Arabidopsis thaliana: one gene and its partner. The protein of the gene in region 1 purifies or fractionates together with the protein of each later gene. This does not show direct contact. Each region holds a gene or a part of one and is shown on either strand. Other genes may lie near its edges.

The links.
Region 2: the proteins of TPP2 (region 1) and RPT2a purify together in Arabidopsis thaliana (affinity purification with mass spectrometry; 2 studies listed by BioGRID, with this or other methods). This does not show direct contact.

The regions. Positions count from the first base shown.
Region 1 is NC_003075.7:11,167,053-11,171,938, forward strand, and holds the start of TPP2 (tripeptidyl peptidase ii), read right to left. Parts: upstream 3,020-4,886; 5' UTR 2,838-3,019; coding exon 2,405-2,837; intron 2,203-2,404; coding exon 2,124-2,202; intron 2,043-2,123; coding exon 1,969-2,042; intron 1,875-1,968; coding exon 1,765-1,874; intron 1,639-1,764; coding exon 1,558-1,638; intron 1,455-1,557; coding exon 1,368-1,454; intron 1,273-1,367; coding exon 1,130-1,272; intron 1,009-1,129; coding exon 858-1,008; intron 779-857; coding exon 656-778; intron 422-655; coding exon 338-421; intron 237-337; coding exon 49-236; intron 1-48. UniProt on the Arabidopsis thaliana protein: Serine protease of the proteasome pathway that may function with the 20S proteasome to degrade oxidized proteins generated by environmental stress.
Region 2 is NC_003075.7:14,310,674-14,315,133, reverse strand, and holds RPT2a (regulatory particle AAA-ATPase 2A), read right to left. Parts: upstream 2,852-4,460; 5' UTR 2,766-2,851; coding exon 2,292-2,765; intron 2,199-2,291; coding exon 1,953-2,198; intron 1,637-1,952; coding exon 1,467-1,636; intron 1,387-1,466; coding exon 1,170-1,386; intron 1,081-1,169; coding exon 940-1,080; intron 832-939; coding exon 748-831; 3' UTR 534-747; downstream 1-533. Other genes in the region: AT4G29050 (Concanavalin A-like lectin protein kinase family protein), read left to right, coding at 1-264; AT4G29037 (plant self-incompatibility protein S1 family protein), read right to left, coding at 3,006-3,254, 3,385-3,636; AT4G29035 (Plant self-incompatibility protein S1 family), read right to left, coding at 4,364-4,460. UniProt on the Arabidopsis thaliana protein: The 26S protease is involved in the ATP-dependent degradation of ubiquitinated proteins. The regulatory (or ATPase) complex confers ATP dependency and substrate specificity to the 26S complex.

The sequences.
Region 1 (4,886 bases):
CTACAACTAGCTGTAGAATAATTCCAAAGTTAAAAAAGGTGAAAATACCAAGTGTATTCAAGCCCCTCACTGGGAGGTTCCACCACTGAATGGGCACCTGCTGCCATTGCAGGAGAAACATACGCACCAACCCCAATGATACTGGACGTTGTTCCACCCGGTGCTCCGACTGTTGTCAAAGCTGGACCACTGTTGCCAGCACTACTTACAAAAATTAGACGTCTCTTGTTCACAGCCTAATAAAACATGGCAGAAAGTCCATAAACGCTAGAAGAAAAGCAAAAAATACAAGCTAATAAGTGCTGCCCAAATAAAGACAAAAGGATTTGAATGATACTTCAGTAACAAGATCAACAAAGCGCCCATAGTCTGGAAGTAATGCTGGCTCTCCATAGCTCATGTTGACAAGATCACAGTTATGCTGTAACATTATTATAAAAGTCAGTATATACAAAAAAGAAACATTGAACGTATTGACTTGTGTCAATGCAAACCTCACATATAATAATCCACAAATATATGAAATTCTTCGTGATGTTTAAGTAATTCAAGAGATATACGACTTGTTTAGTTCAAACTTCATACAATATACTTTCACGAAGTTACAAATGATTTTCAGCTAATGGTAAATTCATATCAGCTGATGAATTATTACCTCTAGGGCAGCTATCAATGCCCGAGTCAATCCAGTTCCGGTCTCCATTGAACCTAATCGCGAGTCTCCAATTTTGCAAGATATTATTTGTGCACCAGGTGCCACACCATTTAACAAATGCTCCTAACATACACATAGAAGGTAAGTTAATTGGTTGCAACAAATCATCAATGTATCTAAATTATATAGATGCGTTTTGCACCTCAGGGTGGTGTGCAGTAGCTATTCCAGCAACATGAGTGCCGTGAGGAGAACTATCAGTTACAATGCTTAGAACCTTTCCCTCATCATACACGTTAGCAACAAAGGAGCATGCATCTAGTCGGCTAAACACGCCATACTTCCGTTCAATTCTGTAGTACATATTTGATTGAGATTAATAAAATAAAATAAAAAAATTGGTGAACAAATCATGCTTCCAAACGAAAAGTTCCTGAACTTTCATAAGAGATAGATGTTTAAAGGAAGACTTGCCGGTAGTTAGTCAGTGGGGAGAAGTCTGCTAGTTTCCCGCTATCTGGATCCTCTTCCAGACTCTGTGTATCAAGTGCAACCCTCCATACTTCTCCATCATGCCACACAACAGCATCAATAACAGGCCCTTTGTCTTCATATTTCTACAGAAAAAACAATTGATTTACAGAACAGATTCAAGACCACAGCGAACAAGTACACAGACATAAAACTACCAAAGGGCGGTCTCTAAACTTACATCAGCTTGTTTTTTCAGAAAATCAACTTTGCTTTGGAGGTCTTCACGAGTTTTCTTCAATTTCGCATCTTCCACCTTGCTGTGCTTCTGGAGGCAAGAATGAAAAATGAGGTTATGATAGAATTGAGTAGCACTGTCTAACTCATAACATCTACAATACAGCAAACCACAATCAGCATCTCCCTAGTACCTGATCGAAATCATACAGATTATTTACAGCCTTGGCAATTTCCTCCTGATTCTTTTCATCCCAGGATTTCCTTCTCTCTTTCTGTGTAATGACAAAACAAGTCTTAGCAAATGGGATTGCAGACCAGATATGTAAACTCTGGTATAAGATTTAATGAGTAGATGAAAGTAATCCAACAGCCAAAAAGGTCACAACTCTAATCGCTACCTTCACACGAGAAGTCAAGTCATCTGTAAATAACTGATAAACCAACTTGGAACCTACACGCCACTCTCCAGTGGGATTTTTCCATGAAGAATTGACAACCAAAGTTGCCCCTGTTTAAACAAAAGAAATTATCAACGCATATCGTAGCAAGAAAGAGAAAGCAAACTATCATGCAGAAATCATAAAACCTCTCAAATCACCAACCTGATGCTCCACGAATATGACCATCTTCATTGGCTTTCACCACTGTGGATGTATCTATATCTCCACTTCCAGTGCTAAACGATAACGTAAAATGACCATCACGCCACAGTCAAAGAACACTAAATGCAAAATTCAATTAAATCACAAAACTATACCAGTCAATGACGTCCAAAACCTTGGGTTTTCCATCAGAAGTTACATGCAAGCCAGCAGCAGAAGGATCAAAACCAGAATCTGGAAAACACAAAATTCCATTTGCTCAGTTCCTCAATCAGAATTTTTACTTGGAGAGTTACAACACCTTCTTAAGAACCAAACAATCGCTCTACTATCTGATCCAAGTATAAGCAACCCAACTATAACATAAGGCTTATACAAAACTTCTCCATTCACAAATTCAATCTAGAGAATACAAAACGAGAGAATATCCAAGTACCAAAGATAGCTATAACAACGCCACGACCGTCGTACTCAGGATGAGCTTCGATGAAGCAATCCGCACGGATTTCTTTCTTAGGCATGAGAGAAGCAATAAAGGTAGATTCGTTCAGCTTGAAATTAGCGACAGAAGCATTCTCAGCTCCACCGCCAACGGCTCCACCACCACCTCCTCCGCCACAACCGACGCGAGAAGCCGTAAGAGTATCAGAAGAAGAACAAGGCATCGCCGAGAAACCACTCCGTCTTAATCGGATTCCACGAGAACGAGAGCAGCTTCTTCTTCTGAGTCTTCGATGAAGAAGAAACGTAGAAGAAGAAATGAAATCGCGAGGAAGAGAAAGTGAAGAAGAAGAAGCCCAATAAGAAGTACACGACGGGCCTTTGTTGATTAACGCGCCGTGAATCTGCAGCTGCAGACTCAGATCCATCTTCGGGATGTGTGTTAATTAACAGGGGTATTTTGGTCAAATAACAGCTGAGTCGATGCACCGAATCGTGTCACTCGTTAGAGGTCTTTTGGGTTGTGAATTGTTGTGTCAATGGAGTTGGTGGTGGCTTACTCCAACTGGTGGCTTTCGCTTGCTCTATCTAGATAACGATATTATTTAGATTTAATTTCTTAGTTACATAGTCTTTAATTGTTGTTTTGACTTTTATAATTGGACATAACCTTAATCTGATTGCTTCTTGGGTTTTTGGTCGCTCGTGTATGAGATTGTTCTCCATTGTTGTTGTCTTTAGCTTAATTCTTCGTGGTGAGAATTAAACTAAAAATATGATTAGTAGATTTGTGAGCTGGTTTTATTGTTTTAGGACTGAACATCTGATTTTGATACCACCCATATGATAATATATATATGTTTTTGCTGACTTGTAAATATCATATAATGAAATTGAAGGTATTACAAAGAGCTTTACCTAATGATAGTGCAATCTTGGCAAAAAAGATAAAAAAACAAGATTACAATATATTCAAGAACAACAAAGAAAAGACCGAGCTATCGAATCCAAAGAAGCATGAACTTCCGCCATCTTTTCTTATGCCTTCTACCCGAGATAGCGTTGCGGATATCTCGATCAATATTCTTAAAGATAATTGGAGGAGGGATGATTTGGTTGTTGTGGAGAACATTATTTCTTTGCTTCCAAATATGGTAGATAATATTATCAATATATATGGAAACTTTACATTCACTCATCTGAATTTTCCTAATTTTTTTGTTATGTGTTGTTTGTACATTTTGAATATTGTACTTTATTATCTGTTTGTTGTAGTCTTGTAGAGACTAGAGATTGATCAGTTGATCACACTTTGTTCCTATATGATTAGACTGAGCAATAGCATAACTTATTTGATAAAGTTAGGACTACCACATTTGATTTGTAATTAACTATTTTCTTATACGGTATGTGAGGTCTGTGATCTGTCAGACTAATTGAAATGGCTAAAACTTGTGTTAGTTATGTCATGTGGATATATCTGAAGAATCCCTGAAAATGGGGGTATAGTATAGCATCATTTGATGACAGCAAAATTCAAAAGTCATGAAGCATATTATAAGATTTGTGTGTGTTTCGGTCTCTACCAACAATCGTTGTTGCTTTAAAGAAAACCTTATAGATATTGCTCATAGGTATATGCATGCATTTGTAATGGGAGTTTCGAACACACAGCTGAATCTTAACAGGGATCAGTGGGGTTGATAAATTTGATATTATTAGAAAGCTTCTTGAATCTTTTAAACTTGCTTACTCAGATCCCTCACGTTCAGAAAAATTGGACGGTTATTGTGTTCTTCTCATCATGGGTTTGCTTTCTAGCTTCAGCTATATCTAATCAAAATTTTGACCCTATTTTTTCTCGTTGCCTTTTTTTGGTATGACATATATATCCAAAACAAGTGCAAAAATCTTGATTCGGATTAGGTGTTTGTGGTTGTGAGAGAAGTACAACTACGAATCTATTTGTAACACTATATCATTCAAATATTCAATGCATCACCAAATCAAAGACTTCCAGAATGTAAGAACGTTGACACGTTTTTTGAGCAATGCCATAGAGTTGACATCAAGCATGACGACGTTAACGCTTCATTTCTTTTTTTAAAACTTATTTATAATCTTCCTCCTAAGTGAGATAAAATTGTATTAATATAAGACGTCATTTTTAAAATCCTTTGAATACAAGAGTATGGGACATTCAATTTTCTTTGTTTCATACTAGCAACTTGATTATATATTTTAATTTGCTCCAGCTATGTATATAACGCTTACAAGTTTTATACAAGGAAAACTATGTATTTTAAGAATAAAAGTGTGGAATTTATACACCGTTTGTGTAGGTTTTAAGCGTAAGTCAGATTGTTAATCTAGAAAATATTGTTATCCAGAAGAGTGAAAGACCCAATAAACTTGTAAGTGTAAGTGTTACTCATTCTGTTTTATAAAGTTTATGTATATTAATTGAAGATTGTTGG
Region 2 (4,460 bases), 3.1 Mb from region 1:
TACCTTGAGGAGCAAGTAGCACTGGTTCTGAAGCTCGGCTTGTTCTGTTCGCATCCGGTTGCAGCCGTCAGACCAAGCATGTCGAGCGTCATCCAGTTCTTGGACGGTGTGGCTCAGCTACCAAACAACTTGTTTGACATTGTGAAAGCTAGGGAGAACGTTGGAGCCATTGAAGGCTTCGGTGAAGCAGCTGAGTCCCTTGCAGAGCCCTGTTCGGTGGCTACATTGACGTTTACAGAACCATTTGTCTCGCATGGGCGCTAAGCGACACTTAGTAACTTTTGAATTATCTCCTCTCTTCACATTATGAAGTAAGTTTCGATTTGTTAAAACTTAAAAGAACCTGTGTAATTACTATTTAGCCGATGTTTGCACAATAGATTACCGAAATTAAATATAGACAACTATTTTTATGAAACAATTTTTCAAGCGCTCCACAAATTTGTGTGAAGCATCCAGGATAGAGAGAGTTTGAAGAGTTGGTTATGCCAAGGAAGAGAGAATTTTTTTTTGTTTTTTTTTTGTCCTCACATTCTGTGACAAGATCAGTTTTTTTATTTGGGCTTGGTTTCAGTTGGTTAAGTTTAATGCGAAATAGACATCCTAAATGGAAATGAGGAATTGTTTTACCGGAGGAGATCAGAAAACATGATCAATTTATATGACCAGAAAGATCCTAAGCAGAAGCAAAAGTATTATAACAAAGTGTGGAGGAGGAAAGCCGATGATGACGATATGATTATAATTTTACATGTAGAGGCCTTCAGGGACGCCTTCTTTCTTCTTGAACATAACCTTCTCCTTTGCTTTCTTGAAATCAGGATGTGTCACCTGAACAAATCCAATTTAAACACATTAGCGTCAGTGGCTAGTAATTGCCCAAGTGGTGTGTGTGTGTGTGTTTGTATGTGCTTGAACTAAATGGTTAAGAGTCTCTACCTTCATACGACGCTCCCTGAGAGCTAGTAGACCAGCCTCAGTGCATATAGCCTTTATATCAGCTCCTGAGAACTCGTCTTTCGTCATCACAAACTCTTCGAGGTTTACATCTTCCGAGAGAGTCATCTTCGATGTGTGTATCTATTTTATAAACAGAACCCACAACCTCAATGAACAAGAAAGTTTCGAACAAGTCATTGATTTGCCATCTCAGTAGAATTATATATTACCTGGAAGATACGTCTTCTTGTTTTGATATCTGGGAGAGGGAACTCGATTTTCCTATCAATCCGTCCAGGTCGAAGCAGTGCTGGGTCAAGACTCTCGATTCTGTTTGTTGCAAGGATGACCTTAACATCTCCTCTTGAATCAAATCCATCAAGCTGGTTCAGAAGTTCCAACATAGTTCTTTGGATCTCACGTTCACCTCCTGAGTGAGCGTCATACCTGTTCTTTCAAACAACAAGTAATCAGATAACCATTATCAATGGGTTATAGATCAGGTTTATGAAAATAGTTTAACTTACCGCTTGGTACCAACAGCATCAATCTCATCTATGAAGACGATTGATGGTGAAAGGTCATCAGCAACTCTGAAAAGTTCTCTCACAAGCTTAGGACCATCTCCCAAATACTTCTGAATCAGCTCACTACCAACAACTCTCAAGAAAGTAGCTGATGTTGAATTCGCAACCGCCTAAAATAAGATCAAGTTAGAGAGCTTATTCCCATTAGATAACACCACCAAATTGCAACTATCTCATGCTTGTGACAGAGAGAAACGAGAAAGGAAGACATTAATAGAAACAAGTGACTCAAAAGATTCTTATCCATGAGAACAAATTTCTCGCTATGTTCAAACGTATGAAATCTAGGTGACCAGCAGCACAACAAAGGTCTGGCCTTTGACCGAACAAACGATTAACTGAATGTAATTGACAAGTTAAGTAGTAAACTAAGCTATACTGCAAACAAACACTAATACTCATTAGATTCTAGGTACAAAGACAAACCTTAGCAAGCAATGTCTTCCCAGTTCCAGGCTCACCATACAAAATTACACCCTTTGGTGGTTTAATACCAATATCTTCATACAACTCAGGATGAGTCAAAGGAAGCTCAACAGCTTCCTTAATCTCCTGAATCTGAGCTTCTAAACCTCCAATATCAGCATATGACTCCAAAGGAGCTTTCTCAACTTTCATCACAGACACCATTGGATCCACTTCATCTTGTAGAATCCCAACAACAGAGAGAACCTAACATAAAACAAATCAGCAACCCTAAATCCACAACAACACACAATCGTAATCACAACAAAAACAAGATTCTTAAACCCTAATTTCACATACCTTATTATGCATCAAAATCGAACATCCAGGTTCAAGCTGATCTTTATCAACGAAGGACAAAATCCCAACGTAGTACTCAGGTCCAACAGAAGAAGAAACAATAGCGTGATTCTCATCAATCAACTCTTCCAAATTCCCAACACTCATAGGTGTACCACGAAGATCATCAACCTTAGATCTATCTTCCTCAGCTTTCTCTTCCTGAGGTTTCAACCTCTCTTGATTCGCCACAAACTCTTCCTCCATCAACAAATAATCCTTGATCCGTTCCAATTTCAGTAACCGGAGCTTACACTTAGTAGACGGAGTCACCGTCGGAAGTCTCGCCGCCGCCTCTGGCCCTTTCTGCTTCCTTTGCTTCCTCCCTACACGAGCCGGTGGTGCCGCCGGCTCAAACTTCTTCTCTTTCTTATCTCCACCATCAGGTTTCCGATCTCCTTGCCGATTCAATCCTCCCGATGGTCCTTGTCCCATGATTCTTCTCTCTTCTCTCAATTTCTCTGAGTTCGAGGTTCCTTTCTTTCTCTCTTGTACTCTTGTACTGATATTTTCTGGCTTTGGGAAGAAGAAATGTTTTTTTTTTAATCTTTGACTAAGGCCCATATATAAATATTAGGCCCAAACAATAGTTGGGCTTGTAATTGAAACCAACATACAATTATTGATACCAAAGATTATACATCATGATATAATTTTTTTTAGATCTATGTGGGGTTAGACTGATGAGTCCAATTCTGATTCACTTGTAGGTGCAGACACTGGAGAGATGTTTCCAAGTTTTGATGGACCATCCCATGTATACATGAAATATTCTCCTTCGAACTTTTTGTTGCGGACATAGACTCCTTCTTCTTTTGCAGTCCATCTACATACATTAGGATGCATACCAGTACATGTACCATCTATAAAATCTTTGTCTGGACGAAACGCATCAAAAACCACATGGTGTTTGTAATTTGGTCCCTATAACAAACAAAGATGAAATAAAAAGTTGGTCAAAAATTTATAGTACAATCACTGATACTCATCTTAATTTTTATACATGACAATATGTAAAGAAATGTATAAAAAAGTTAAAAATGTGTTTTCTCACCTGCCATAAATTACACCAATACTGAGTTTTTGGATAAATTTTAAATTTAAACTGAAAACTTTCACCAATTTTAAGATATGTGATTGGGAAATTGTGAGATTTGCTCTTGCAATGAACTTTCAGTATCTTGTGAAACTCAAGTTGATTTACTATTTGGACATTGAATTTTCTGAAGAGAGGAGGCATCAAATAAGAGTTTATAGAATCAAACGAAAGGAGGATAACAAATAAACTTAGCAAAGATTTTCCCATTTTTCTAAAATCTTTCTTGTCAAATGTAAAAAAACTTATGTCAGAGGTAAATGTGTTACAATGTCTTTATATATTTGTTCATATATTTGCTAAGTTTTTCTTCTTCTTCTTCTTCTTATCCTCCTTTCCTTTTAATTCTATAAACTCTAAATTGTTGACTCCGATCTCTATATTTAATGCTTTGACTTTGTTTTCAAGAGACTATTGTCATACAATGTATTCTAGTGTCACCATTAGTACTTGTATATATGGTCATAAATAAGTTGAACGAAAACGAATCCATGATCCATACTTTCTTAGAAATGATTGACCCATGAGTCCCCCATAAATAACAAATACATAAAATCTCATACTGATAATTAATTATTAGTATATCGTGATCAAAATACATGGTTGAATTTTCTTTAATATGGATTATACTCGAATAAACTTTCAAAGATCTCTCGACTTCAACAATGAATTGAATCATGGTGAATCCCCTTTATATATCAATCTAAAACCTCTATGATGAGGTGGATTATAAAGCAGCAAACCATTGTCTTGAACAGTCCAAAAACAATTGAATCCAAGACACGATCGAAGAAAACAAAAATCTTCGATGAAAAATACAAAAAAATAAGAGAGAATTTATGACAAAAGTAAAGTATTACTTCAGTTTTTTTTGCCTGCCAAAATTAACAGATACATATAATAGTTAAAAAATTACCAACAAATCAAAAATATGTTTTCACCATCCAGATTTCCATTTCTCCGACAGTACATCTTCACCGATTGCAGAATTCCAAAGATAAAGGCCATCATTCTTTGCGGTCCAAACACAATTC